Arabidopsis thaliana: one gene and its partners. The protein of the gene in region 1 interacts with the protein of each later gene in a pairwise test. Each region holds a gene or a part of one and is shown on either strand. Other genes may lie near its edges.

Region 1 (9,223 bases):
ATTTTCAGCAATGGATTCCAAGCATCAAAGATGCATGTGTCACAATAACCATATATCTCGAACCAAAAGTTCAATATATAACCGATAAGTCCATCGAGTTGTTATATACATCTAAGCAGGCTTTGACACCACATCTCATCCAAGGATTTGACGCTTCATACTACTATCTTGAGGTTAATATATTTCCATCTGCTTCTCTTCAACATTGCATAAAACATTGTGATCATTGTTTTGTTTATATTAGGTGATCAGAACACATACACATCCGTACACGACCCGGATTATGACCTTAACGAAGCCACACTTGGAGAGAGTACAAGTTGCCTTAGAGCCATATACTGAAAACGTAAGACATGGCTTTCAGAAGTTGGTTAACTCAACCAAAATCTACCATCAACAGGTATATTCATCATATTGTGTCCTTGTTTTTACGAAGTCAACTTAGAGTAACACTTTCATAAGCTTCACTCTGTTGAAACCAAGGCTCAAGAAATGCTGAAGAACAATGAGATCACCAAACCGGTTGCTACCATGGACTTAGCTTGGGTTGGGGTATGTGATTTCAACAACATCTGGTCATTCTATCCATCTATAGAGTCTACAAATCCGAACTCACTCACTTCTTCTATTAAATTTTCAACAGGCCACAGCTTTAATTGGATTCCCTCTTATATTCATCATCAAATTGCTTTCTGCAGTCTCCAAGTAAGCTTTGAACATCATTCAACAATAGTCTAAACTTTACTTATAAGTTTCAATCTGTTGCATCAGAAAGTACTTACAGAATTGCATCTAACAGTCCTAAGGGGAAGAAGAGACACAACCATAAAAAAGAACCAACCACCGGGTACCGCAGAGCCAAACGCCGACATCCTCACCAATGATACAATAGGACTATAACTTGAAGAGATCAAAAAGGTTTTTGTGACTTCACTTAATCGATATATATATCATTCGTTTTGGTTCCTATTAAAAGATGGTTACTTAAATGGAGGAAATATCTTTTGCAGGTGGTTTGTATATACCTTTCTGGTTTCTGAGACTTATAATAGTTAAATATCTATTGGCTGAAGAAGTTGAAGCAGAGGTGTTCTACAAAACTATAGGTCTCTCTTGACTCTCTGTAGTGACAAAATCTTAGAACAATCTTTTTCAGTTTTCATAGTTTATGGTTTTTTATAAAGTAGAGAAGAGAAGAAAAGAAAAGAGTTGTAAATCTTCTCACATTGATACAGATGTGATTGGGAAATTTTAGTTTGCCATGTTAATGTAACCAGGCCCAGCCCAATTGTGTTGGGTACAAGTTGAAACTAAAAAGCCTTAATATTTCAGATTTTTTTTTTCGGACAAACATACAACTTCAGATTAAAATATCTTTATCTATATTTTAAAAGAGGAAAAAAAAACTATTTTGTGAAGACAAAATGGGAGAAAGAAAAGGACAAGAGAGAGTCAATGTCTATAACGACTGTTTGTGTCTGATCCCAATTTCATGTCTTTATATGTCTTCTCCTTTATAGGTCGCTTTTCATTTACGCTCTTTCTTGTTTTTAGCTTTCATTTCTCTTTTTAGCTTTTATTTTATCATTCTGTTTTTTTTCTTTTGTCCAAACTATTTTTCAAATTTTTTATCAAATCCATTATATGTGAATAAAATAAAAACCATAAACCCAAATAATTGAATGGAACAAACAAACTAAAATGTATAAATTGAAAAATAAAACAAGCAAGAAATATTGGCGAGCATTTCCATTTCCGTCATGTCTCGTTGCTGTCTATAAATAATTTTTTCTTTTTAAGAAATTTGTTTCGTCCAGTTCTCGCAAAATCCCAAATTGTGGTTTGCCAACCCCTAAAAATATAACATGATTATTAGTAGATTGAGTTCACATGCCCAAGTTTTTCCAAAAGTTAGCCCAAATCTAAATTACATTATTAACGACACTTGTGGTCATGAGGAACATCGATAAACATAGAAGGTGTAACCACTAAGGAGTATTACATGCAAATGTGGTAACCAAAATCTGAAGGAATAATAAGAGGACAATTAGATCAGATCCGGTGGTTTAAGATTCAAATACCGAATTTGCCCTTGTGACATGTAAATTATTACTGGATTAACATAAATGGAGACACACGTAATAACTATTGACAAGGAAAGTATGTGGTATTGACCAAACAACACACATACACAGACACACTTCAAACTTAACCATGGTTACTCACACGTGATATGTCCTCCGGTTAAATATGTTTTCATTATCATTGTTAATTATTATTTTCTTATTATCACATTCCCATATATTAAAAGATTTTAGTGTTATCTAAAATAATTTCAGATTATAATTTCAGTTTCATAATTCCAATCTTGAAAATTTTGGTTCTTATACTTGTGTATATAATTGGATATTGGATTTTTGTTTACGTATGGCCTAGATCAAACTCTTGGTATTATTAATTGGAAAGCTAACTCTTACGACAAAAAAATACAATGACACATGCGGAAATTTATTGAGCCTTGCTACGATCATGTAGGATTGACATATGTATGTCGTATCTCTATCTTATTTGGATATATAGGGTATAGTCATATCAGAGAAATTTTCTAAAATGTTTTCTTAGGATCCTTAAATTATATTTTAAAAGGATTATCTAAGTCTCCTGATTTCCTATGAATTGGTTCGCAACCTACGAAAAAACTATGGGATCAAAAGCAAAAAATTCTAAGTTTTTTTTTCAACTTTGGTAAATTTTAACATAAATAGTTAGATGTTTATCTCCCTTCATTCCTTTTTGAAACCAATAATTTTAATCTTCCTTTCACTTACCATTTAGAAAAACACACGAAACTATGTTTTTTGTTTTTAAAAATATGTGTACCTCATATATATGCTGCATGTACAGCCTTTATACGTCTATATGCAGTTGTGTATTTCATATAATTATACTATACAAATAGAACATAAAATAGAACTATAGTTATTTACAACACAATATATATATATATATACAGCTGTATAATGTATTTTAGAATACTAGTCTGGGCCAATCAAACGGGAATATAAAAACCCGAGGTAGAATTTTATTTTTACATCGTTTAAACACAAAGAAAGATGGTTAGCAACAGCAAATTGCTTACATGGTTATCAACAAAATATCGTGTTTCGTAAACAATAAGTTAAAAATAATTCAATGAACTATTGGGATTATCAAATCAAACTGTAAAAATTAGTTTATTCAAAGAACAATTAATGGCTGAGTTAATTAGCTTGCCTTGAATTGTTAAATAATTAGATGCTTCTAATCAGATTTCAAGGAGATATGTCGGAAGCACCGACGACACGTGCGGATCCGTCACGTGCGCGATTCAACTCTTTAACTCGTATGTCGATATTTCTTTTTTTAATTCTCTTCTTTTTTCACACTCCATATTGTCGATTTTTATGCCCGGAATCAAGGGTTTGACTTACCAAATTGTTACCTTCTTTTAGGCTTAAAATTTATTACACTTAAAATAATCCGGATTAATATTTTCTAAAAAATTCACTAACTAGAGAAGAAATAATAATAAAAAAGACATGTGAAAGAGTTAATGAAAGTTGAGAAAAAAGAGATAATATTATTTTTATTTTATTTTTAGTTTTGTTTTTCTGCAGAAGAGCCAAAGCTCTTTCCTTCATATATACGAACCCCTTTTTCCATTTTCTTTGTGCAAAAAGTGTAACCTTCCTTATCCGATTCTGAAGCAGAAATTAGCTGCAGAATCTTCAGATTCTCTCTATACCTAGATTGGTTTTTCACAGAATCTTCGCTATTTTGTTCAGATCTGCCACTGTTTCAGGTTTGAACTAATTTTACATAAATTTTCTCTCCTAATCTTTCTCTGTTTCATCTTTGGTTTTCTCAATCGATTCGATATGAATTTGATTTGGTTTAGCTTGATTCGATTTGATCATCATGTCTAACTAGTTCTATCTAACTTTGTTAGTTTACTGTTCTTTTGTGTGGTTCTTGTTCTTACTTCAGACCGATCTATGTTTTTTTTGCTTTGTCTGCTTCACACAACACAATCGTGAGCTTGCTCTTATGAAAATCTAATCTAACTAAATTTTCTTAATTTGTGGTCTTTTTAATTTCATAATGGATTAATAAACTAAATATCCTCAAAACGTTCTTGAAGTTTTATAATTTGTATTTTTTGTTTTCTCCGGAGATTTGGTATTTGAAATCTTCTTACTATCTGAAATGACCCTTTTTGTCGGTTTTTCTTGAATCTTTTTATTTATTTTTATTTTCCGGGAAAATTTCGTTTGTTAGGTAAAGTTGACTGATACAAAGGACTTGAGTTGCTAAATAAAAAGCATTTGTATTGTGCTTTTGTTTGGTTACTCTGTTCTCAAACAAAAGCTGATACATTTGTATTTGTTGTTGCAGCAAAAACGGTCACAAAAAATATGATAAATGTGATGAATCCAATGAAAGGTGGAACAGAGAAAGGTTTAGATCCTCAGCTATGGCATGCATGTGCTGGTGGTATGGTTCGTATGCCTCCTATGAACTCTAAAGTCTTTTACTTTCCTCAAGGTCACGCCGAAAACGCTTACGATTGTGTCGATTTCGGTAATCTCCCTATTCCTCCCATGGTTTTGTGTCGTGTTTTAGCCATTAAGTATATGGCTGATGCTGAATCTGACGAGGTTTTCGCTAAACTGAGATTGATTCCTTTGAAAGATGATGAGTATGTTGATCACGAGTATGGTGATGGTGAAGATAGTAACGGTTTCGAGAGTAATAGTGAGAAAACGCCTTCGTTTGCTAAGACTTTGACTCAGTCTGATGCTAATAACGGTGGGGGTTTCTCTGTTCCTCGTTATTGCGCTGAGACGATTTTCCCGAGGTTGGATTATAACGCCGAGCCGCCGGTTCAGACCATTCTTGCTAAGGATGTTCATGGTGATGTTTGGAAGTTCAGACATATTTATAGAGGGACGCCTCGGCGTCACCTTCTTACAACCGGATGGAGTAATTTTGTAAACCAGAAGAAGCTTGTGGCGGGAGATTCGATTGTCTTCATGAGAGCGGAGAATGGAGATCTTTGTGTAGGTATTAGGAGGGCTAAGAGAGGAGGGATAGGTAATGGACCCGAATATTCAGCGGGTTGGAATCCGATCGGTGGAAGTTGCGGCTACTCTTCTCTGTTAAGGGAAGATGAAAGCAATAGTTTGAGGAGAAGTAATTGTTCCCTTGCGGATAGGAAGGGGAAAGTGACGGCTGAATCTGTTATAGAAGCAGCCACTCTTGCTATTAGCGGAAGACCGTTTGAGGTTGTGTACTATCCGAGAGCTAGCACTTCAGAGTTTTGTGTCAAGGCATTAGATGCTCGAGCTGCCATGCGGATTCCGTGGTGCTCAGGTATGAGGTTTAAGATGGCTTTTGAGACAGAGGATTCGTCTCGGATAAGTTGGTTTATGGGGACTGTTTCAGCTGTTAATGTCTCTGATCCTATCCGTTGGCCTAACTCTCCTTGGCGGCTTCTACAGGTAAACAAACACTCAAAATTTTCTTCTAGCTCAAGTTAGAATATAGACTCATAGGTTGCATTTTTGTGTTTTCAGGTGGCGTGGGATGAGCCAGATTTACTCCAAAACGTGAAGCGAGTTAACCCGTGGTTGGTGGAATTGGTATCAAACGTACATCCGATCCCGCTTACTTCGTTTTCGCCACCGAGGAAAAAGATGCGGCTACCTCAGCATCCAGATTACAACAATCTGATCAATTCGATTCCAGTACCTTCATTCCCAAGCAATCCCCTTATTAGATCAAGCCCGTTAAGCTCTGTTCTGGACAATGTTCCCGTGGGTTTACAGGGAGCCAGGCATAATGCTCATCAGTACTACGGGTTATCATCTTCGGATCTTCACCATTACTACTTGAATAGACCACCTCCTCCTCCTCCTCCATCCTCTCTCCAACTTTCTCCTTCTCTCGGTCTCCGAAACATCGATACCAAAAACGAAAAAGGATTTTGCTTTTTGACAATGGGAACAACACCATGCAATGATACCAAATCTAAAAAGTCCCATATTGTATTGTTCGGCAAGCTTATACTACCCGAGGAACAGCTATCAGAAAAAGGCTCAACGGATACCGCAAACATAGAGAAAACGCAGATTTCATCAGGCGGGTCGAACCAAAACGGCGTTGCGGGAAGGGAGTTTTCTTCGTCAGATGAAGGATCACCTTGCTCTAAGAAAGTTCATGATGCATCAGGTTTGGAAACAGGGCATTGTAAAGTGTTTATGGAGTCAGACGATGTAGGTCGAACCTTAGACCTATCGGTTCTTGGTTCATACGAAGAATTGAGTCGGAAACTCTCTGACATGTTTGGAATCAAAAAGTCTGAGATGTTAAGCTCTGTTCTCTATAGGGATGCATCAGGAGCCATCAAATACGCAGGAAACGAACCTTTCAGGTACATTTTTTTATTATAGACAAGATTGTCATATTTTTCGTACTATTTTGATGATGAAGTAAAAGAAAACATCTAATAGTTGTTGGTGTTTTGACTCATCTTTGGCAGTGAGTTCTTGAAGACAGCTCGAAGATTGACAATTCTGACGGAACAAGGAAGTGAGAGCGTTGTAGTATAACTTGGCAGAGTGTTTTGTTGGAGCTTGGAAGTCAAAACTCAACGATTGAATCTTTTAAGTTTTTTTTTTCTTTTATTTGTTTATTTTAGTTCCACTTTTTTGGATTATGTAAGTTTCAAAATGCAATTCACAATCTATTTGCAAATAAAATAGGTTCTTCTTCCCTTGAAAAGCTTCATTGATCAAATAGGGTATAAGAACCAAAGTCTAGACGGCAAATTATGATATGTTTGTCAAAGTCACTTCAATTTGTCTACAAATTAGTGATGACACGCATAAACCAATAGGCCTCAAACATGGTTGCATTGCTTACTTTGATTCATTATGTAATATATAAAGTGATTTTTCTTTAAATATTTCATTATTTGTTTCTTGGGATCAATAAGTTGTTGAGAGGTATGAAAAGTAATAAAAATCTGGAAGACAATTAGTTAGGGTGATGCGAGGGTCATGTCTCTAGGCACATGCACAACAAACAACGGTCGGATCCTATGTTTGACAAAACACAAAGTCCTCAACACCTAAGTTAAGTTGGATCTCCCACTTTTCATTTATAACTCAAAACTATATATATATTTAAAAGATTTTCAGATTCCAATGTATACACAACGAAAATTCCATATCATCTTCAACCTACTAATTATAAATGTACAACGAAAGTACTCTATATTCGCTTCTCGGTTCTCAAAGTCAATGAAGTTCTAAACTCACTTTTTCTCTGCTTATTTAATGTAAAAAGACCAAAAGTTCTAGCCCTTTTTACTTTCTAGTCTTTAATCTTATATAAAACCATACTCACTTTTTCTGTTCCAACCTAATGTCCTATAATGTTCCAATCTCAAGTCTTAATCATGATAGATTTGTAAAAATGTTTTTGTAAAATGACTTGTCCACTCTCAGACCTAATCTGACGACGCTTCTAGACATCAATACAAAAATGAATATGACTTGAGAGTGATGGACATCATGAAATGTGTAAATAGACGAAAGGGAGATATTTTAAATCCAGTTACATGTCATGATTAGAGTTAATATAAATTGAACCAAAACTCAATTATTGTAGCTTAAGAGAGAGTATGAACATTGTATACAAAAATAGATACACACATAAATTAATTGCATATCTGAATAAATCAAAAGTTTAGGAGTTTACATTAATCAAAAGTGATTGTGACAACTCTACGTATGAAGTTGACTCTTGAACCACACATGTTCAGAATTCACAATCCCAACAAGATCATAAGAGAAAACAAACAGCAAAATGAGAGATACATGGGGTAGTCTTGATTTGGATTAATCATTTAATTAATCAAAGTAGTCAAGTTAATCAACTGGCGATCATAATATATATGTTAATTATTAGGACAAAATACTTAGGGTTTTGCAACAAAACTATTGTTAACCATGGTTGAGTACTTGAGTTAAGACGATATCGACAGAAACAAGTGTGACAAAAGTCAAAGAGGAGAAGCGACAGAGTAGCGAACGTTGTGGCACTTTGAATACTATTTTTTATGTAAAATAAACAAATAATTTTTCTTAAATAATAGATTTAAAAAGTAAAAAAAAGAGGACAAGAGAATTAAAAAGAGGCACGAGGTAGACAAAGATTCGTGAGGCAAGGAAATGCCAACTCGAAGGCCTTTCTTTACGTGAAGAAACATCAATGCATGTGTCCTCTTCATATTCACAATTACACTTAAATCTGTCATTGTCTTTCCTTTCACGTTCTTTTTCCACGTGTCCATACTTTCATTTTTTTTTTACACAATCGAGCTCTCTCTTTTTTTTTCTATACCCAAAATATAATACCAATCTCGAGATTTACAACCACCGCGTGAATAAATTTCATAGTGCTAAATTTACGCAAGTACAATAGAAAAACATTTTGTGTTCTTTGACTAAAACATGACAGCAGATTCGATCGGTGAATGTTTTAGTAAACAATCGGAACAAGTGTTGATCGAGTATTCTCAAGATATTTAATATAGTTGGCTACATAATTTGGAATTATGCAAAACTATTATCTAATTTCAAAATTGGGTTTTAATACGAAACGGATCGAACATATGAAGCCCATAAAGTTTTATCTAACTCGAACATAAATAGCCCAGTAAGATATTTGTGCCTTGGAAATGTGGAATGCCACTAGAGATCCAGAATATTTTGGGGCATTAGTACATTATATATAGACCAACTTAATGTTCCAATGAAATATTAGTTAGAAGTTTGAATTCTAATGTTCTAAACCTTGAGGGAGGTGTATTGGACCTAGTAATTTGGAGGATTTTGATTTTTTTTCTTAAATAATCTGTTATTCAAATAAGAATTTTCAAGCTGTAAAACAAAACAAAAATGTCTTTCAAAATCTTATGTTACTGAATTTAGAATTTGCTTAAAATAATTAAAAATATTACCAAATCTCTTGTTATTCAAAAAACAACAATTCTTTGGGAAACAAATATTGAAACTGATTTTGGGAGTCTTTGGATACCTTTTTAGTTGTAAATAGAGATGAAAAAAAATCCCACTTCTGGAGGGGAATATTTTTTGAAAAACAATATGTTAAACAT
Region 2 (6,563 bases), on another chromosome or scaffold:
CAGCAGGAAACCTTTCTGTTTCTAAAGGCACAGATAACACAGCTGATAACTGTATTGAGATATGGAATTCTAGATTGCCTCCAAGACCTCTTGGGAGATCAGCTTCTACAGGTGATCCATTTAACACAAGTTTTCATATGATTAGTTCCTATTGTATAAAGGAGTGGTCTTTAATGACTTATAAATCTTTTTTGCAAATGGTTACAGCTGAGAAAAGTGCTGTTATTGGTAGTTCAACTGTACCGGATATCCCAAAATTTGTAGACATCGATTCAGATGACAAGGATCCTTTACTGTGCTGCCTCTATGCCCCTGAAATCCACTACAATTTGCGTGTTTCAGAGGTAATTCCTAGGCTTTGATAGTCTCTAAAGAAACTTGGTGAGCCAAAGGACTGAAAGTTTTATTGCTTGTGCTTCTGTGTCACTTCTCTTCTGGCAGCTTAAACGCAGACCACTTCCGGACTTTATGGAGAGAATACAGAAGGATGTCACCCAGTCCATGCGGGGAATTCTGGTTGATTGGCTTGTGGAGGTTAGTGTTTAGTTCTACTTTTGATGCTAACTTTTGAAGCTACTATGACCTTTTCCGGGTTCTCACAAAAGTCTGATTTCAATCACAGGTCTCTGAAGAATACACACTTGCATCTGACACTCTCTACCTCACAGTGTATCTCATAGACTGGTTCCTCCATGGAAACTACGTGCAAAGACAGCAACTTCAACTGCTCGGCATCACTTGCATGCTAATTGCCTCGTATGTTCCTCTCCAATCTCACTAGTAAATCTCTTCTCAAAAGCTAAACTAAACTTATACTGCATTTGTTTATAAACTTTTCAGGAAGTATGAGGAAATCTCTGCTCCACGCATTGAGGAGTTTTGCTTCATTACGGATAACACCTACACAAGAGATCAGGTATACCGAGATTGCTGTCTGAATCCTCAAAAAAGAAAGTGTGCAATGTGCTAATGGAGTCGTGATGTGCAGGTCCTGGAAATGGAGAACCAAGTACTTAAGCATTTTAGCTTTCAAATATACACTCCCACTCCAAAAACGTTCCTTAGGAGATTTCTCAGAGCAGCTCAAGCCTCTCGCCTGGTATGCATTTCGCAATTTGCTCCCCTATCTCTTCTAATTACAAAGTTTAGTAGAAAGACTGAGAATGTGTCCATATTTGATTGCTGATTCGGCAGAGCCCAAGCCTTGAAGTCGAGTTTCTAGCCAGCTATCTAACAGAGTTGACATTAATAGACTACCATTTCTTAAAGTTTCTTCCTTCCGTTGTTGCTGCTTCAGCGGTTTTTCTCGCCAAGTGGACAATGGACCAATCAAACCACCCATGGGTCTGTGATGTTGCTTCTCTTTTGTATATCCAGACACAGTTTAGCTCCACAAAATCTTTGATCTTTAACATCTTTTTGATTTTTCCCCCGGCAGAATCCAACACTTGAGCATTACACAACGTACAAAGCATCGGATCTGAAAGCATCTGTTCATGCCTTACAAGATCTGCAGCTTAACACCAAAGGTTGCCCCTTGAGCGCTATACGCATGAAGTATAGGCAAGAGAAAGTAAGCTTATCAGTTAAAACCACATACTAAAACCTGTTTGGTATAACTTTAGTTTGGTTTCCTTGATTCTCATAAGACTTATTATGGATTTGCAGTACAAATCTGTGGCGGTTCTCACGTCTCCAAAGCTACTTGACACGCTATTCTGAAGGTTTCAACTCCTAACCGATAATAGTTTTGTCACATTGATGGTCCAATTTCGTTTTCATTCATCTGTTACTCTTTGTTCATAAAACAGAATTTCCACAGTCCCACTCATCTAATACCTGATTAGAATTCGGTTTAGCCTAGTTTGATCCGTGGTTTGGTTCTTCCAAACCCGGGAACATCTAATCGGTACCTAGAGTTTTTTTTATTGTAACGAGAATGTACATTTTTCTCCCATCTTGAGGCAATGTAAACAGATTCGGAATTTTCATATCAGTTTTCTGATATGAAGTAGGTTTAAGTATTTATATTTCAAATTTCATTGATTGTTGATATTGAACTGTCATGCAGTAGCTTATAAGAACCGCCTCTAGACTTTAGTCCAGTGACCAAAAGATAAAGATGAATGAACTATGTCAAAGAAAACAACTTCTACAGAAATTTCGGAAATCTTAGACTTCCGAAGAGAAATATTGAGTAACTGCAAAAATGTATATTTAGATATCTGTAAGGCTCACTCACATTCACATGTGACTATAAATATCATTCATCCTCTGTTACATGATCTCTTCATAATCCTTAACCTCTTGCACGATCCAAGGAACATTCTGCACACAAATAGTTTCATAATTTATTAGATATCAATTAAATAAAAGAAAGTAAATTTGAATGTTATAGAGGTCGCTAGAAACTTACTCCCAAGGAACATCTCCAGCAAGCATCCAATCTCCATCTTTGTCTTCATATATTGGTACACATTCACTTTCCTTCAACGTATCATCTTCATTTTCATATATAAAGATTATAAAGTTAATATCGATGTTTTGGATCATTAGTTGCCTTGATAAGTAAAGACTAAAACCAAAAATATATACTATATATAGAAACATAAACTAACCAAAATTGATATAGCATCCGAACAGAATTTGCAGAGCGGAAGCAAGATCTTGGTAACATTTGTACATTTCCAAATCAATCTTCCTTAAAAATGCAGCTCCATCTACACTCACTTTCACGTACGAACTTTTGGTCCGTTCGAGACTGTTCTTTCTCCGGTACGAACAAACCGGTGGCCAACCCACAACTTGACTCTTTTTCGCCGGTTCACATTTCAAATCAATCTCTACTTCCGGAGAAGCCCTCTTCTTCCCGGAGATGGACTCACCGGAGACGACGATATCTCCGGGAAGACCTAGCCGTAGTTCGGTGATTTCGAGTCCAAGATTATTACTCTCATTCGCCATCTTTGATGTTTTTGATTGAAAGTATTGGTGTTAATGTGTTTGAACTTTATTCTGTTGCCACTTTATATGTTCTCATGGGAACATAAACGATGGCGTTTGAGACAAGCTTGTTTAGCATTGATTTATCTTGTCGGCCCCATTCGAAGATCTTGTCGAAATTTTTATGTCATGTTTTTTCATTCCTTTGCCGCTTCGTGTTTAAATGTCGATAATATGGATCCGTTGGTTCGACACACTGGACGGCCACGATTTTGTTACCGACAAAGTAGGGTTTCTTTCTCAGCCGTTGGATCAGAAACACGTTACTTTCTATTAGACATCCCATGTTATGTGTGATTTGTTATGTCTGTATCCCATTCTTTTAATCAACGACATAATAATAAAACAACATATTCATGGTCGAATATATATTAGTGCACTTTAAAATCTACGTATATTTATGTTTCTCGACAACCGAACACGTGTTACTCAAGGCTAAGACAAGTTATTATATTATTTCATTTTTTTCTACACGTAACACACTACACAGTGCATACATAATTTCAAAGAAAAAAATGCATCTACGTTTTCGTCATATATCTTGTTTCTGCTATTCACACATGTGCCCGATACTTTCATTACATCATACGTAATCTACACATGTACACCATACTTTTGTCATTATTTGTTACGAAATAGAAACAGAACTGATCAAAATATCAATTACGGGATATATTTCCATTTTTCATAGATATTTCCATATCTTTGTATCTCCAATAGTACATTTTTGGAATGTTCACATGTTGATAGATAAGCTAGATTAGTCAAATTTCCTTGTACACAATTTCTAGTTTTCGATTGATCATGTAGAATTGCGTATAATATATTGTCGGCTGGCTTTAGCCAATGAATAACACAACAAGACTTTGTGATAATGGACAGCGAATCCCACAGTGATAATGATGATCACATAATCGACATTACAAACGATGAAGATTCTTCATCAAGATCGTCTTTGGACGAGAGAAGCTATCCTTCATTAAGTTCGTCTCTGTCTACGGATGACGAATCGTCAGATGAAGGTGCAAGTTCATCTACGAGAGACTGTGGTAGTCTTTGGAATATAATGGAATTAGTAGTCACTTTGGTTCAGATTGTTGCATCATTAATAGTTTTAACTCTGGCAAAAGATGAACATCAACAAGCACTTTTGTTAACATGGGTCATCGGTTACACTTGTGGCTGTATTACCATTACGCTCCTTATTCTCCTCTCGTGTGTCCGCAAATACAACCGAATTGGTGTTTACTCAAAAACGAGGTATAATAAACAACACTTGTTTCACTTAACATTAAGAGTTTAATTAGCTAAATCAAACCGAACCGTTGTTGGTGGCAGAACGGATAGGGTAATGGATGCTTTGAAGATGGGGAATGAATGTTTCTTTGTTGTGTGGTTAGTTATGGGGATTCTATGGATTTGTTATGGACACTCATCTTCTTCTGATACTCCTAAGCTCTACAGGTTTGACTCACAATCATGTCACAGTAGAGATTTAGTTAAACCCTAACTAATCAGTACTAACTTTTGTCTTCTTGATTATGTTTTGGCAGGTTATGTGTAGTCTTCATTGCTTTCAGTTGCATTAGATTTGCATATGCATTACTATTATGCGCAGGTATTTTTTTCGCTTAATGTTCACTAGAGTTTGGAACATTTTTTTCTCATATCTATGATGTGGATAAGTTGAAATCAAATGATGTAGATTCTGTAAGGGAAGGTATAGGAGGTAGATTTGTTTTCAAGAAACCGAGCCATGATGATGTGAGTAATAATTTCATATCACATTAATTACTCTGTTTTAAATAGCATTTTTTTGTTGTTGTTGTTGTTTAATTTTCATGGTTTGATGGTGTGTGCAGAGTTGTTGCATATGCTTGGGGAAATATGGAGAGGAAAAAGGAGTAGGACTAAGGAAACTTGAATGCTCACACGTATTTCATTCGCAATGTATAGACAAATGGCTGAAAATCAAATCCACATGCCCTCTCTGTCAATCACAAGTTAGGTGGTGATGAGATGAGGTTGATTTTTTTTTTATTTTTTTTTCGCTCAAGAGTAATTGTACACATTCAATAAACAAAAGTGGTGGGAAACTGAAAGATACGATCCTGTCTTCTTGTGTTGTCTGTCTTAAAACAGAAAATAAATATCATACAGATCATTTGACCTATTAACAATTTAACTTGTCCAAAACATCTGCAATATATATAAACATTGAAATCTCAGCTTTGATCTTCATTTTTCAAAATAATGTTTTATTTGTAACACGACTAATACGTACTTAGTATTGATCTGGTCTAAAAAAATACTAATAATTTTATCAACAAAGAAGGAAAGGTATATGCTTTGTGCTCGTCAACGCAAATTTGAATGAACTTTTCATTTGATCGGCAAGAAATAGGAAAAACCAAAAGTGATCAATGGAGGGCCCTTTGTTGAGCGAGTGTGAACACATCATTGACATTACAAGCGATGGTAGTTCTTCATCAATTGATGGTCAGCAACCACACGAGGGTGTTGAATTGGGTGATCCATACACAAATGAAAGCATTTGTAATTCAATCGAGTTTGTTGTGACTTTGGTCTTGATTGCTGCGGTCATAATCGTTCTGATTGAGCCAAGAGATGAAGAACATCCACAAACAATGTTGTCTATATGGATCATCGGTTATACATGTGGCTGTATTGCCACTCTCCCTATCCTATGTTGGCGTTTTTGGCTTTATAACCGAAGCGTTGGCTCCGAATCTACAGATGAATACTTAAGAGAGACAAGGTATATATAAATTGTGTTTTCTTTTATCTTTTTATGCATTAGATTGAGATATAATGGTTTTATTGGTTTGCAGAATCAACAAGGATATGGACTTTTTTATGACGGGTTTCTTCGTGGGTTGGTATGTGGTGTTTTTATGGATTCTTTCTTCCAAAGCATTCGACTCATCAGCTCTAGATGATACTACAACTCAATACTTCTGGTGCGTATCAAACGAAATTTCCAATCATATGTATACCTTAAAACGTATATATTGACCTTTCTTATACTCATGCCTTTGGCCTTCTTCATTGTCTCTTTTGCAGGTTATGTTTGGCTCTCCTTACTTTCAGTTGCATTAGATATGTTCTTTTTAATCTAACATTGGCAATGGTCTGTTATACTACTCCTTTGCTTTTACTTACGCCTGTGGTCATATGTGTTCTCCTTGCTGTGGAAGTCTTAAAAGGCATTGTAGCATGCATTGTATCATGCATCTGCTGAAATCGAACTAATAAAAATATTTTGTTTGTAAGCCTAGGAGAATGGGCGTTTAAAATCAAAGTAAAGCAGAGTACCAGAATAAAAATGTTTTGTGTTCATGTTGATGATTTTAATCTTATTAAGGTAGAGAAAAACAGTAGCTAAGGTTTTTTGAAATGATCAAATATGATCATCTCGTCTTATTTCCTCTTTTTATTTTATTTTTCTCCCTCGTTAATATTATTCTCCATTAAATGACAGTTTTGACTGACCATTCTTATTCGTGCGTTTTCGCTATTCAGATATGTATTTTAAGGGC
Region 3 (7,149 bases), on another chromosome or scaffold:
GAAAGTTATTTTAGAATTTTTTGAGCTAGGCTCTAATATTACCACAAGGTAACTTGGATAGACAAATAGGGGCAACGTGAACATACCTCGCTGAACCATGATCAGATCCTCTGCGGCCTTTCTTGCTTAATCTACTCTCCCTAGCTGAAGCCACACTTTGAATTGCAATCTGGCAAGCAAAAACAACGACATGGTAACTCAGTAAGTTTGGCATTCTTGTTCAAAATAGAAAACATATATAGAGTATACAGAAATACAGAGAGAGTAGCTTAAAGTTACAATCAAAGTTTTAACCTCGTAAAGTTGTTCCCTTATTGCAAAGGCAACAGCAGGCTTCAGAGAGAAGGAGAAACCAAAAATCACTTGTATCAAACGTTTGAAACTTAGGTTCATTAGTTCAGATAATGAAATGTAAAAAATTGAGTGGTTATCTTACTCCAACTTCAGGGTCTTCAACACCTAAATCCTTGCACAAGGTTCTTGCAAATTCCTCAGGATCACTCTCAAAATTGTTTAGGTCCTGCAAAACGGCAATCAAGCTGCACTGAGAAAAAGAGTACAAACAATAGTTGAAATTGTTCAAAATCACCAAGTATTCTCACCCATAAGAACTGATCCTTGATGAGAGTATGGTTAACTCGGAGATCAAGCTGGCACAAAAAAGAAAGAAAGATAGCTTATCAGCTTCTAGAACTTCTTTTTTTCCAACAAATCACTCATGGACAAAAGAGAGAGGGATAAGGATATCTAGCGTCATAAAACCTTAATTGGTATGATTTTTTCACCAGTGTACATGTCTTGTCCTTCATAAGCCCGAAAGTCTGAGAGCTGAGACTGATAAAGCAGGAAGTTGACCAATGTAAGTAGAGATTTCTGAAGAAATTATTCCAATACTTACAAAAACAGAACAGAACATAACTGAAGCAAGAGTACATTCATCACAAAAGCACAGTCTTACAGATATACATCCCAAAGTACAATGCTATAAACAGGCCTCTTCTCGAGTAAAAAAACCTAAAGAGTTAAAAACAATAAGTCGAAAGTGTGATTGGTTTAAGACTAATAGGTGACCTTAAATTTAAGCTCATCTCTATGACAAGCAAAAGAACTAACAACAAAATCAGAGCAGAAGAAAAACTAAAGATAGGTCAGTGTGAACTAGTTTAGAAACAACCTGAATAGATTGGGCAATCTGAGTGACAAATGCATAGGGAAGTTTCAAGTCTTTAACAGTTCTTTTGGCAAAGATAACGACTTCATTATCCGGGTCTGTATCCAAAACCAAAAACAAGAATCAGTGAATCACATACACTGCTACTGTAATAAGATGCGAGAAGATGGAAAACAAAAAAAAAGGTAGGGTTTTTAAGAGAGAAACCTGAAGGGTTCCAAGTGAAAGCATCTTTGTAACGCTGACCTTCGAATTGAATGTCCAATCGAATAGGTACCAAGTTTTCAGCAGTGGGCCTATAGCTCCGATTACAAATCGATTCATCAGAAAAAACAAAAACACATGAACTCGATTTCGATTTCAAAACAAACAAAGTAGAGGAAGCGACGAAACTTACATCCTGAACTTGACGGGACCTTTCCAACCAGTAGACACTAAACCCTTCATCCTTAAACCCCCAAATTTCACAAATTGAGTTTCGAAGAGAGTCAGCGAGAGAGTGTGGGAAATTTCAATTTCTCGATCTTTTTCCGGCGCTAGCTTAATTTATTTCAGAATCACCCTTATATTCTAATGTCTTTACACATTTCACCTCTAATTTGGAATTTTCCCATTTTGGGACGAATTATCTGGATCCGATCCTACGATCAATTGCAGCATTTGGGCTTTAAACGAGCTTGTTAGTCATTTAGTGGGCTTTAAATGGGCTCAACATTAAAATTGTACATTGGTGACAACCAACGAGACGGCTGCCGGCAGATCAAAGAGAATCATTCTCTTCCTGACAACGTTCCTCTATTCCATGTTCGTGCTCCCCATAACAACGTTCGTGTACTTTTTTCCTAGTCATGTAACACATTCGAAGAAACACACGATTACAAACATATAAAAAATCTTTGCATTATTATTATTCAGAACAAAAAAGAGAAGTCTTGGATATTGTGATTTATTTATAAGAAAAAACACACTCAAAGGTGTCATATAAATAAATATATGCATCAATCAATTCTCCAACTTCTTCAAGGCCTTTGTTGCAATATGCAGCAATAGCTCCGTCCCGCCTCAAGTCTCTTCATCAATGCCTAAATCTTACACGTCTCGTAACTGCGCAATCACAGCCTTGACCGATCCAAGTTTTAATACCTCTCCGGTCTCGTGATCTTTAGTCTTCTCACGGTTTCAAGAAACATACTAAACAAAAACATCGATTTCAAAAATTAGAGAATAGCTATAACCGAGGAAATTATACCAATGTAAGATCAAGATATAAGATTCATACTCCCATGGAATATCTCCGACCATCATCCAATCTCCATCCTTGTCTTCATATGTCAAAACATGATGTTTTCGATCTCGATTACCGCCTGTTATAGCCAAGACAATGCATGGATATACTTCAAACTGTTTGAATTTAGTTGAATGTTGTTTTTACGGAATTATGTGTTGTTCATTAATTACTTACAGATGATTGAAGTATCGAACATGTGAGAGAGATTTTCTAATAGACTCTCGTAGCCTGAGAATACGCAAAGGTCGAGTTTTCTTCCAATGGGAACACCTTCCATATAAACCTTAACAAAGAGAGAAGTGTCATCACCACGACGAAGAAGACGACGACCCTTTAGTGTATCTCTTAATCTAGACTTTATCGGTGGCCAATCTTGTCTTGCTTCTCTACAAAAAAATAAAGATTTAAAACACAAATGTGAACAAAAGAAAACAGAGCAAAAACAGAACATAGGAAAAAACAGAGAAGTGATGTGAATAAGACCTTTGTGGAGAAGTAGAAGGAAATGTGAGACTAAGGGAGAGATTAACAGAAGATTCAGAAGGAGAAGGTTTAGTACTGTCGACAGAGGATGAAGAAAATGAAGAACAAGAGTTAGAGACCTCCATTAATGAGACCTTGAAGCTGCAGAGCTAGCTTCATGCTTCCTTCTCTTCTCTATTGAGAGTGCTCTTCATGTCTCTCTCTCTCTATTTCTATTTCTCTCTGTCTAGTTAAACAAAAAAGGACTAGTAGGTGATTCTATTGCATAGATTTTGAATTTAAAAATTGATTTAATCGACTTTGAAATTTAATATAAATAAATAATAGGAACATAAGGTTCCCCACATTTAACTATGAACTTTCAACCTTCTAAATATGAACACACATTGATTTCTGAAAACCACTGTAATAATTACCCGATTAGATACTTAATTCATGGGTTTAGATCTTTGGAGTTAGTTAGTAGTAAAAATGTGAAATTATGGTTTTGAGATTTGTTTACATGTAAGATTCGAAGTTTCCGTAAAAAGGTGGTATCCAAGGAAAGTGTGTCTAAATGATGTTGGAGTTAATCTGTTAAGGCTTTGATTTTAATTTCTCAACTGCTCAGATTCTTTAATTAGGAGAGATAAGGGCCAAAAAAGGCTTTATTGTCTAGCCGTAAACAGAAACAGAGCATCACATCACTTTCACTTTCTTACACATCAATATTTGAAAGAAAAAAACTGAGTCTATAGACTATGAACTTGGGGGATCAATTTTTTAGACCCTTCTGTTGATAAGAAAACTCAATTGTCTCTTATGACACATTAATGTAACAGACCATTGAAAATTGCAGAACCAATAAAAATAAGGTAGACTTGAAGAGTTTTGTGTATATTGTTTTTGTGGAGCAGACAGTGTTCTTTTCTTTAACTATACGTTTCCTGTTAATGTCTCTTTAGCTTTGTGGATTGTCTCTCTTAGAAGCCCAAATCTTTTACTCTTTTTTGAAAATCAAAATAGAATTCGTTGATTTATGATAACTTCAAAATATAAAGTAGACATAAATTGTTACATCACATAATGCTCATTGGCTGTATTGATAATAATATTAGATTCTAGAATCATCATGGGAAGTGCACTCTAATAGTTACTTTGTAATAAAGCCTACCTTGGATGTTGGATCGATAAGACTCCTATTAGCTATTATACGATCTGTCTTTGGACATGCATGTCTGGTCTCTAGGGATCCTTCTTGTTAGAATTTCGATATATATAACTTTATAATGTCTAGTAGTCTAATGATGAATGTTTACTCCTCTTTATACTTATAATAATAATTAAGACTACTATAAGTCTATAATCAATTAAACTTTTATCAAAAAAATATGTCCAAGGAGTTATTACTCGCATACCTCGACTTAAAAGAGTTTTGTCATTAGTTTTCGTTGAAGTAAGTAAGAACCAAAGATAATAATCAAACTCCTGATTTTCTGAAGTTTCTTAAAATGGTATTCAAATTTTGGCCATAACTCTCAATATATTAAGACCGAGCATGCGAACGAGAAAAAATATGATCACCATGGTTTGCAGCTCGATTACTTCTAAGTTCTAACCATGGTAAATTTAAACGTTTTGTTGAAGTAATATAGAGAGGCATGCAATAGTATTGTGCCAAAAAGTTATAGCAAGAGAGATCAATATCATGATATGTACTCCTAAATTAACGTGGCATGTTCATGCATAGACAAAGATGCAATCATATCTCCACGTTTGCATACAGCTTCAAATAATAAAATCATATAGTCATACAAACAAAATGAATGTCCGCTGCTTATGAAAATTAATTATTTGGATAGTACTTCGTATAAAAGTTACATCAAATGATTTTAGTTGATTTTAAGACAAGGGGTCCCTTGAGTGATACACAAACTCATCATGAGTATTCTGATCCATTTCATGACGAATAAATTAAAACACAATCAGAAGGTTGATCATGGGTTGGGAAAGATGTATTGGTCGGTCGATATGCCACATGTTATATTATGTTTTATACTTATTCCTGAATAGAAAGATATGTATGAGTCGAAATATACAAAAGAAGGATGAAACTTGTTCTTCTTTATAACCTTATAAAATGTTCACATTGTTTATGAGTGATTTCCCGCGTCCATTCCATACGACTTCATGATTAACATCCCTCAATATATTGATTATGACAATGTTCGAAAAAACTGTTAGATGCCAGGCAGACGACGATTCAACCGGCCAAGTTTTGTTTCCGCGCGCGCGCATAAGTCCACTATCTAATATGCAACCATTACGGTAGAAGTTTACTTGGTCCATTTTCATTGATAACAACAAAAAATCGTAAAACTTTAAAATTATGATGAAAAACGTAAAAAAGAACATGGGAAAATATATGGCGGAATCACAAAGCATGAAAAAATGCTTCGGAATGATTGACTGAATTTACAATTGGTAGAATTTAATTTTAAGAGATAACATTTAAAAATTCAAAACATTAGTTAGCTGTCTTTATACAAAAGAGTTATTTGTGTACCAAAAAATAGAAAACGAGATATATGACCACATGATGAGTTTATGCATGCCTATTACGCCATGCAAATAGATACACACACACATAGTTGTGCCTCTGACTTTGTCTGCAAGTACGTTTGTATGGTTCTAGACAGTAATTATTGTCCTAAACCCACACGCTCTGTGAATACTCACTAAAGGTTGTTTTCCGTAGAAATCATGAACAAAGACTTTAAAAGCAAAACAGAACAATAAATCAATTAATAAGTTCAACGGGATATAGTGGAAAAGAAAACACAGATACACACCATTGGATTGAAACAGTTGCATTTGTGGTCTTACATAAACCTACGTGTTCTTTTATAAGCCAACCAATACTTTTCTCTTTTTTTTTGTTTGAAACGAGTTGCAGACTTTGAGTGGCCCCAAAGAAGAAAGAAAAGATGCAATTTCCTTTGGTTTGATATTCTCTTCAACCTCTTACCTCTCTATTCTCGTCTTTAGCAAAATCTCAAAAGACAAAAAGATATTGATGTCTCTCCAACGACCCAATGGGAACTCGAGTTCGTCTTCTTCCCACAAGAAGCACAAAACTGGTAGGTGTTGAAAGAAACTTATCTAATATTTAACTTAATTTGGTTTAGAGAAATTGGTTTGTATAATTCTCAGAGGAAAGTGATGAGGAGTTGTTGATGGTTCCTGACATGGAAGCAGCTGGATCAACATGTGTTCTAAGCAGCAGCGCCGACGATGGAGTCAACAATCCGGAGCTTGACCAGACTCAAAATGGAGTCTCTACAGCTAAACGCCGCCGTGGAAGAAACCCTGTTGATAAAGAATATAGAAGCCTCAAGAGGTAATCAATGATGAGTAAAAAAACTTTTTTTTCTTAGCATTCGATTTGTGGAATTGAAATGGTAAAAAAGAAACTGTGGTGAAAAATTACAGATTATTGAGGAACAGAGTATCAGCGCAACAAGCAAGAGAGAGGAAGAAAGTGTATGTGAGTGATTTGGAATCAAGAGCTAATGAGTTACAGAACAACAATGACCAGCTCGAAGAGAAGATTTCTACTTTGACGAACGAGAACACAATGCTTCGTAAAATGCTTATTAACACAAGGCCTAAAACTGATGACAATCACTAAATATTTACCCTTTAATCCATTGTTCAGTGTTGTATGATTATCTTTCTTTCTTTTTTGGTTTTGGTTTGTATACACTTTTTGTTCGAATAACATTCACTTTGAGCATCATTGTCATTCAGATTTGCAAAATAAAGTAAAAAAAAACGAAAAAAGGCAAGAAGAGATTAGGTATAAAAACTAGAGTTCTAAAATGCCGTGGTGGGTCCCACATGTTCTTATGCGAGTGAAACGAAGAAGTCTCTGGAGAATTTGTTTTCGTAGAGACCAAGCTGCTGCTATATAAATATTGTGAAAGAGATGAGATTTTAATTACTTGTAAGTGATTCAGAGAGATCAGAAGAAAAGAATAATTACGAAGAAATGGAGAATTTTGGTGAAGGGAGAAGAAGTGGAGGCGGAATGTTGCCGTTGCTGGCTCTAAGCGCCGTCGCGGAGTACTATAGACTACCGTGGAAACCACCGGTGACGGCGAGTCTCCTGGCCGCGAACACTCTCGTTTATCTCAGGCCGGCGTTTATCGATCCCGTTATTCCTCAC
Region 4 (7,331 bases), on another chromosome or scaffold:
ATTCAACAGAAATTAAAAGGTATGCACGGGTTCGAACTATGAGGGAGCAAGTGAAGGAAAAGAGGGAACTACAGCAAGGTATGCACGAGGAAGAAGAAGAAGAAGAAGAAGAAGAAGAAGAAGAAGAAGAAGAAGAAGAGTGAAGGAAAAGAGAGAAAAAGGCCATTGGGCCCAGAGGTGAACAAGGCCCAATTAAGGGTGGGTCTTGGTTATTAACAAATTTCTAATTAGATTAAGTACAAGAACTACATAATGGTTGTGTTGTTGTAAGAAAACGATTAAGGAAAGTAAGAAGTAAAAAGAGTTTTCCAACACCTTTTGCTTCTTCATCAAACATTGGATTTTTTTCATGTTATAATCTCAACGATATAAGATTTCAACTGTACATATATACTTTCAAATTTTGATAATATTGTGGCCTCTCGAGGTCGAGTTCATGATCGGGTTATGCATAAACAATTGAACGGTGATTTGTTTGAACGTTGAATAAATATGATACAAATTTAATAAGAAACAAACTAGCAATTAATCGTTATATATATATAATTAAATTGTTGGTAACAGAATTAAACATTTAAACATGTTATTCATCTCATTCAAGACAAATTAAACAAATACATTCAAACGGATAACTTTGATAGTTAACAACTCGATGGAAATTTTACAGACATTGAGAATGTGTGATACATCAACATTATGTATTTTTCTTACAATTTTCGCAGGTAATAGCTCACTAGTTAGTGATTATACACATCAAGCATACATGCTAACGACCTAGATAATCTCGTACGTATACGGACTAAATAGTTAATCTAGAAATTTAGGAGTTACTGCAAAAAAACTAATCCTAGGAGGCAGAGTTTCCAACGGATAAAAAGTCGAAGAATGGAACATGACTTTCATGTTTGGTGTCCGAGTCACTGCGTTTGCTTTGACCTGAATCTTGATCTATAATCTCGCTCTTGTTTGAATCTGTGTTTACTTGTAGAAAATTGTAGAACTCCATAGGCTTTTTACTCTGATTTGCTGCGATCCAAACGATAAAAGAAGGACGAAATTATAAGCTATGTGGATTGCAACTATGTTAAATATATAGAGATGACTTCATGTAATGACGGAAACAATATATGATGATGAGTACAAGAAAAAACATGCAACTAATTTTGTCACATAATTTTGAAGTTCATTAGAAAAATGATTATGCAAATGAAAAAGTCGGCTAAACTCTTTGAAAAGTAAAAAAATTCGGCTAAACTTCATTTCAAAATTTTGGAACATATATACCTTTTTCATCAATAATCCGTGCAAGACTCATATACATGCAAACACATCTATAGAAAATGGATCCTTCTCCATCATTTTGAGTTTACCTTTGTGATTTAAAGCGATCTTTCCGGTGAAAAACTCCTTTAGGAAGTGAAGATGATTGATATGAGAGAATTTGTAAGGGAAATTTATAAAGTCTGCTGGAAATATTTTCTTCCGATCATCGGAACTATAATTATGATTATAACCACCAGAACTCATCATGATTTGTTCACTCGCCATTAAAGAAGAAGACGAAGTCGTCGAGGGAAGAAGACGAGGCTTAGAGGTTTGGCGTGTGCGACGAGCCATGATGACGTGCCAATGGTTCTTGACGGCGTTATCAGTTCTTCCAGGGAAAAGCCTTGCGATGATGGACCATCTGTTCCCATGGATCCGATGAGCCGCTAAAAGTCTTTCTTCTTCTTCTTCCGTGAAAGGGTTTCGGTTGATCCTTGGATCCAATTGATTAAACCATCTCAATCTACAACTCTTACCTGCATATATACACCAATACAATTAATTCATATGTATATATATATCAAAGTATCAAAATTAACCCTAGCTAGTTTTGTATATATGGACAAACCCTAGAAGATATCAATTACCAGAGCGACCAGGAAGCTTGAGAGCAATGGCGTTCCAATTGTGAGGACCGTATTGTTCGACAAGATCCTTGAGCTTCTCGTCTTCAGCTGGTCTCCAATGGCCTCGGCTGCACATGATCATTTTTCTTCTTCACGCCGATCTATTTAATTACGTAATTAACTAAGTATACCGATCCAAACCAATACAAGAACAAAGAAAAAGAAAAACACACAGATTCTATATCAATAACGCACGCAAAAAATTTGTTGTGTTCATGTATTTTATGTACATATATAAGAAATTAAAACCCTAAGTTTTTTTTTTCTTGGGAAAAGGTTGGGGAAGATGGGTATGTGGGAACAAGAAGAAAGCTGAAGAGCACCTGCACGTATATATATACATAGTCTATATTATTGCGAGTATATATATAATATACATTTTATGTCTTCTTCTTTTTTTTCGTCTAATATACATTTTATGTCTTTACCAAAAGAAAATATATATATATATATATATATATACATTTTATATGATGAAAATTAAAATAAAATAAAACAAAATCCGTTAGAGAGTCGGGAGGGTTTGGACGGACCTCTCTACCGGCGACTGATGCCAACGTCTTCCCTAACCAACAAAACACCCCCTTCTACGTAATCTACCTTTTTCTTTCCTTTATTTTACAACTAGGATTTTATTTAGTTATAATAATTATAGAATATATAATATCGTAGAAAATAAGAGCATAGACTAGAGATTGCTTGGTGTGGGCAGGATTTCGTTAGCCTCTCAACGTCTCTTCGTATAGTATTAATTTAAGGTTTGTTGTTTCTAAGTTCTAACCTACACCCGCTACTTCAAGCCACCAATACTCATCTACGTTTCTGTAATCTTGGCAAGCTACGTATTCACATATAATAAATATCGATATCCTACACTGACAAAAATTTATTTCATGTATCAAATATCGTCCATAATAATTAAAGATAAATATTTTCAGACCTAATCAACGTTTTTTCTAAGCCTTAATTAGGAATATATCGTCCAAAGTGGAGACAATACAACTAACTTTTTCTTTGCAATTTTACAATGGGTATTTTCTTATAAACTGTAAATAAAATAGAAGGTGTATACAATTGAATCAAGTGATGAAATATATTAGCAAAAATTTTATTCTCATGTGGTCAATCATTTTAGTCGTAAACAAATAAAAAAGGTGGTCAAATATTTGGTCTCCAAGCACGTCTCTCTTGTCCAAAACGGAACTTTATAGGTTTCGGACATTCAGGACTAAAAACAGAATCAGTTACATTGAATGTTCCGTGGGACTAATTAGAACATTTCTTCAAAAAAAAAAAATCTGTAAGCAAAAACCAAAATAATTGCTGGTAAAGTTTAGTAGGAAAATAAAATAAAACAGAGAGTTAGTTGGGAAAGAAAGCCAATAATCAACTTCATTTGTTCTATCGGTAGTTAGGAGAGAAGCCTTCTTCAGTTTCGACTTTCGAACCTATCATAACTAAACTTAACCTATTTTCGTCGCAAAATGACCTATTTCAACTAAACCGGATCCTGATTACACTAAACCGGTCAAATATTATATACCAGTGGGCTTTTTATTTTACAACTGTATGGGTACTTCATCACCAAAGGCTGACAGACCAACTGTGTCATGTCTTTAGACTTCTTCAGCAAGAGTTCCTGAGACTTGAACCTGTTACCAGAACTGAACGATGAACCGACACTGTTCTAGCATCATAATGTTTCAAGAATCTCACATCAAACTCGAGAATCAGAGAGCAAGAGCAGAAGATAAACCATAATAGTCATGAACCATAAGGAAAACAAGCCTCTCACATTGCTAAGGATCATACAAAGTTCGGCTCTATCTCTATGTATGCAATGGTCAATACAATGACTTTAAACGAACACGTTAAACATATTGTGAGCTGTGAGAGCCTTTTCAAAGAAACCAACATAACCATTAGACAATAGACCTGGATAGGTATCTTTGCTTTCGAAACCATGCTTATTGGTCCAGAATTAGAGAGACTGTGATGGATGAAATTTCACCAGGGATCATAGTCACGAAGAGCTCCTCTCTAGGCAACAGAATCATCGCACCACTGAAAATGGTTCTTTGTTTTAGTATGATGATATGGTCCAACAGTTTTCAGTTCACATTACTTCCCTCTGAGTTTTGTACTCTTTCTCTTCTCACTGAGTGCAAAACGCCTAGCCATACTATGGTTGTAAAACTTTTTCATATGTTCAGAAACCTTATGAATTGCCTTGAGGTTACCAACTTCCGATAGACGCATCAAGAAAGAGTCAAACACTCGATATGGCAGTTTGAGTCCTTTGTTCACAACCTCTTCCAGTAGAAAACACGCCTCTTTAGCTCTGTGACAGTCGAAAAGCCCATTGATCATAGCACAGTATGTTTCAACGTCCTGAACACAGTCTCTTTTATCCATTTCAGTCCATGTATTGAATGCTCCATCAGGATCATCCATTTCGAAAAACATAGATATCAGCATGTTGTATGTTTGGACGCTAGGAGCACAACGCGACTCTACCATTCTTCCATAAAGTTTAAGTGCTTCATCGGTCTTTCTATTCTCACACAATACCCTAAGAAAGCAATTGTATGTGACTATATCAGGCGGGTAACCTTTATTACTCATCTCATCCAGGAACTTGTACGCTTCATCTACCTTTTCAGCCATACACATACCTTCAATTACATCCTTATATGTCGAGACATCAGGAAGGCAACCCGTGCTTATCATACGCCCAATTAGCTCAAAGCATTCTTCTGCCTTATCATTCTTTGCCAACGCCACAATCATTAAAGCAAAAGTCTTTGCGGTTGGAGCAGAAACAGCAGAGCCTTTGGTTATCATAAAGTCAAACAAATCAGCTGCCTCATCCACCATTCCAGCTTGACAGAAAGTATCAATAGCAGCACAATAAGTGAAATTTTCCGGCTTATGTCCAGCTTCAATCATCTCTTCAAGCAGCTTCATTGCCTTTTTAGGGTCTCTCACCCTACACCACCCAAAGAACAAGACATTAAACGTATTCGCATCAGGTTTAACTCTATGCCTCATCCTTCTAAGCAAAGCTTCACCCTCCTTAACCAAACCACACTTACACAGAGCATCAAGAAGCATATTGAAAGCATTAATCTCAGGCTGCGTCTTCACTCTAATCCGTTTCCTCTTGGCAAATTTCTGAACATGAGTCAAGTACCTCTCACAATACTTCCTGAGAATCTCCAATAGAACATCAACAAGAACAACGGTTTTGTTGTTTCTCTTCATGTAATCAAGCATATCAATCACAATCCTAAACTGCTTATTCTTATACTTAGTACTTGACAATATATCAATCATCTCATTATAAGCAATAGGCTCATGTGAGTAATGTTCTTGATGTCCAGCCCAAGTGAAGAACCGAAAAGCCGTCTTTTCTTCGTATTGAAGCCTTTGTAAGATCTTACACACCACAGGAGTTGTTAAATCTACACTAGATTCATCAAGGGCTTTTTCCATATCATCATACGCATTCAAATTCGCCATTATAGCTTCGTGTAAGATTCCAACCGCATGATTAGAACCCTTTGTTCTAATATCATTTTCATTGCAATAAACCAATGATTGATCTTCGGAAACTTTCTCTATACGGGTAATTTCTAGTTCTGGGTTTAACAAAGTCGTGGAACAGAATCGATGCACAGAGAAAGATGAGATTTTTTTGTTGATTTGAATAGAATCTAGATGAGAACTCAATATATGAGAGAAAAGTGCGGACCTTTGAGGTGGTGTTGTGGATAGATGCAAGGAGAATCTAGAACGAACAAAGTAAGAGACGAGTCTTCGCATCATTCAGTAATCAATCACTCGGAAATAAATTCGTTGAGAGGTTTAAAGCGAAGGAGACTGAGAGGAACTAGAGGAAGGGGACGACATAGAGAAGAGAGAGAGAGAGAGAGAGAAATTGGAAGATTTTAAATGGGCTTTTCTTTTGTTGAGGCCTTTTCATTTTTAATGGGCTTTCTTCATTTAACAACGAAAACTATTTTGTTTGGTTTGAATTACACACTACTTCAAGTCTTAAACAAAAGGGAATCAAATTTCCAATTTCTTTTACATCAAGGTCTAGACTCTAGATATCAAATATCAAATTCTATAAAAAAAAAAAAAAGAGAAAACCAAAAAAATATCAATTTAAAACCAAACCAAGCCATAAATCAAAATTTCTACTCCTAGTTTATCATAGAGCCACAAATAAATAATATACATATACATCTCTTTACATAAGAGCATCTGCATCGGGAAGATTCTCTTCCTAGTTTCTCAAAAAAAAAAAAAAATATTATTTTAATTATATAATATATTTTATTTAAATTGTAATAGTTAAACTAATATTTGATTGACATGTGGCGATTCTGTCAGAAAAACGATTCTCTTAGTTTCTCAAGTGAGGTACTCTTCTCCCTCTCTATCCTACTTTTTCACTTTTTTGTTCTTATTTTATTATTAAGTTTCTCATTCAGAAATACTGATGGAGATGGCCTAAAACAACTAATATATATGTAGTTTTTTATATCGAATGAGAATTATCCTGTTACATTATACTAAACAAATATTTACAGATTCTATACACAAAACATTATTAGATACTCTAGATTTTGCCGATTGTAAAAATTTAATAGTCTAATCAATGGTATGTATATAACGATGTAATTAATTTGCAAGTAGCAGAGAAGAAGCAATACTACTTTTGGCATATAGCAACAAGTTATGGTTTTTCTTTTTTCGTTTCAAATTATTGGTCAAGTGACAAGTGGCCGTTAGCGTAGTTATGACTTTTGAGACTCTCGTTGTGAATCATTGCATTTTCTATGGTTTTGGTTTTAATGCATTTCTCATTATTTTTTCACAATTTTTTTCAGAAACCAAATTAAAAGGAGGGATACAATTGGGGGATTGGTTTTTAAGTAGATTGTATGCACATTCACTCTTCAATCTCCGAGCGAATTAAGGAGAATCATAATAATAAAATCAGAACATAGAAAAAGAATCCAAACCAATAAATTAGAAAACTTAAAACTTAACTTAGAGAATTCAAAATGTAAAGAAATATCACAATTTCTTTGTTCTTGTTCCCAAATTAAAGTACCGTTCCTACAATTTTTATTTTTATTTTTTTATCACATGATATCTTAATATATAGTTGGATATACATAGGATCGATATTGGACAACCAAATAAAAACAATGACCATGATTAAGTTTGAAATTTACTTACGACTGCAATTAACATGGCAGATATAATGGATTTCTTCCTAACTATTAAAAGGAGAGAATAAAAGCAAACCAAAACTAACGAAAGAGACTTCACAAAAAAAAAAAAAACTAACGAAAGAGTTGCATC

Evidence for each region.
Region 2: the proteins of ARF16 (region 1) and IAA5 interact in binary tests that used the Arabidopsis thaliana proteins (3 or more experiments, as listed by UniProt).
Region 3: the proteins of ARF16 (region 1) and IAA31 interact in binary tests that used the Arabidopsis thaliana proteins (3 or more experiments, as listed by UniProt).
Region 4: the proteins of ARF16 (region 1) and MYB54 interact in binary tests that used the Arabidopsis thaliana proteins (3 or more experiments, as listed by UniProt).

The regions. Positions count from the first base shown.
Region 1 is NC_003075.7:14,700,796-14,710,018, reverse strand, and holds ARF16 (auxin response factor 16), read left to right. Parts: upstream 1-3,664; 5' UTR 3,665-3,841; intron 3,842-4,434; 5' UTR 4,435-4,454; coding exon 4,455-5,540; intron 5,541-5,615; coding exon 5,616-6,472; intron 6,473-6,580; coding exon 6,581-6,650; 3' UTR 6,651-6,954; downstream 6,955-9,223. Other genes in the region: AT4G30090 (golgin family A protein), read left to right, coding at 9-173, 245-400, 484-552, 644-705, 800-884. UniProt on the Arabidopsis thaliana protein: Auxin response factors (ARFs) are transcriptional factors that bind specifically to the DNA sequence 5'-TGTCTC-3' found in the auxin-responsive promoter elements (AuxREs). Could act as transcriptional activator or repressor.
Region 2 is NC_003070.9:5,363,497-5,370,059, forward strand, and holds IAA5 (indole-3-acetic acid inducible 5), read right to left. Parts: upstream 3,002-6,563; 5' UTR 2,965-3,001; coding exon 2,619-2,964; intron 2,502-2,618; coding exon 2,417-2,501; intron 2,329-2,416; coding exon 2,268-2,328; 3' UTR 2,016-2,267; downstream 1-2,015. Other genes in the region: CYCA2;3 (CYCLIN A2;3), read left to right, coding at 1-111, 208-344, 442-534, 623-756, 841-916, 989-1,099, 1,195-1,344, 1,439-1,573 and 1 more; AT1G15590 (E3 ubiquitin-protein ligase), read left to right, coding at 3,878-4,263, 4,342-4,467, 4,709-4,736; AT1G15600 (uncharacterized protein), read left to right, coding at 5,427-5,782, 5,856-5,984, 6,088-6,265. UniProt on the Arabidopsis thaliana protein: Aux/IAA proteins are short-lived transcriptional factors that function as repressors of early auxin response genes at low auxin concentrations.
Region 3 is NC_003074.8:6,017,974-6,025,122, forward strand, and holds IAA31 (indole-3-acetic acid inducible 31), read right to left. Parts: upstream 3,175-7,149; 5' UTR 3,068-3,174; coding exon 2,943-3,067; intron 2,846-2,942; coding exon 2,634-2,845; intron 2,536-2,633; coding exon 2,451-2,535; intron 2,363-2,450; coding exon 2,308-2,362; 3' UTR 2,000-2,307; downstream 1-1,999. Other genes in the region: BSH (transcription regulatory protein SNF5, putative (BSH)), read right to left, coding at 87-169, 295-333, 437-520, 603-650, 763-834, 1,175-1,269, 1,379-1,473, 1,569-1,618; HYH (HY5-homolog), read left to right, coding at 5,998-6,061, 6,135-6,321, 6,414-6,612; RBL14 (RHOMBOID-like protein 14), read left to right, coding at 6,973-7,149. UniProt on the Arabidopsis thaliana protein: Aux/IAA proteins are short-lived transcriptional factors that function as repressors of early auxin response genes at low auxin concentrations.
Region 4 is NC_003070.9:27,596,555-27,603,885, reverse strand, and holds MYB54 (myb domain protein 54), read right to left. Parts: upstream 2,294-7,331; 5' UTR 2,035-2,293; coding exon 1,914-2,034; intron 1,803-1,913; coding exon 1,371-1,802; coding exon of another isoform or gene 1,312-1,370; exon of another isoform or gene 1,027-1,311; coding exon 848-1,026; 3' UTR 569-847; downstream 1-568. Other genes in the region: AT1G73400 (Pentatricopeptide repeat (PPR) superfamily protein), read right to left, coding at 4,074-5,780. UniProt on the Arabidopsis thaliana protein: Transcription factor that regulates secondary cell wall (SCW) biosynthesis, especially in interfascicular and xylary fibers.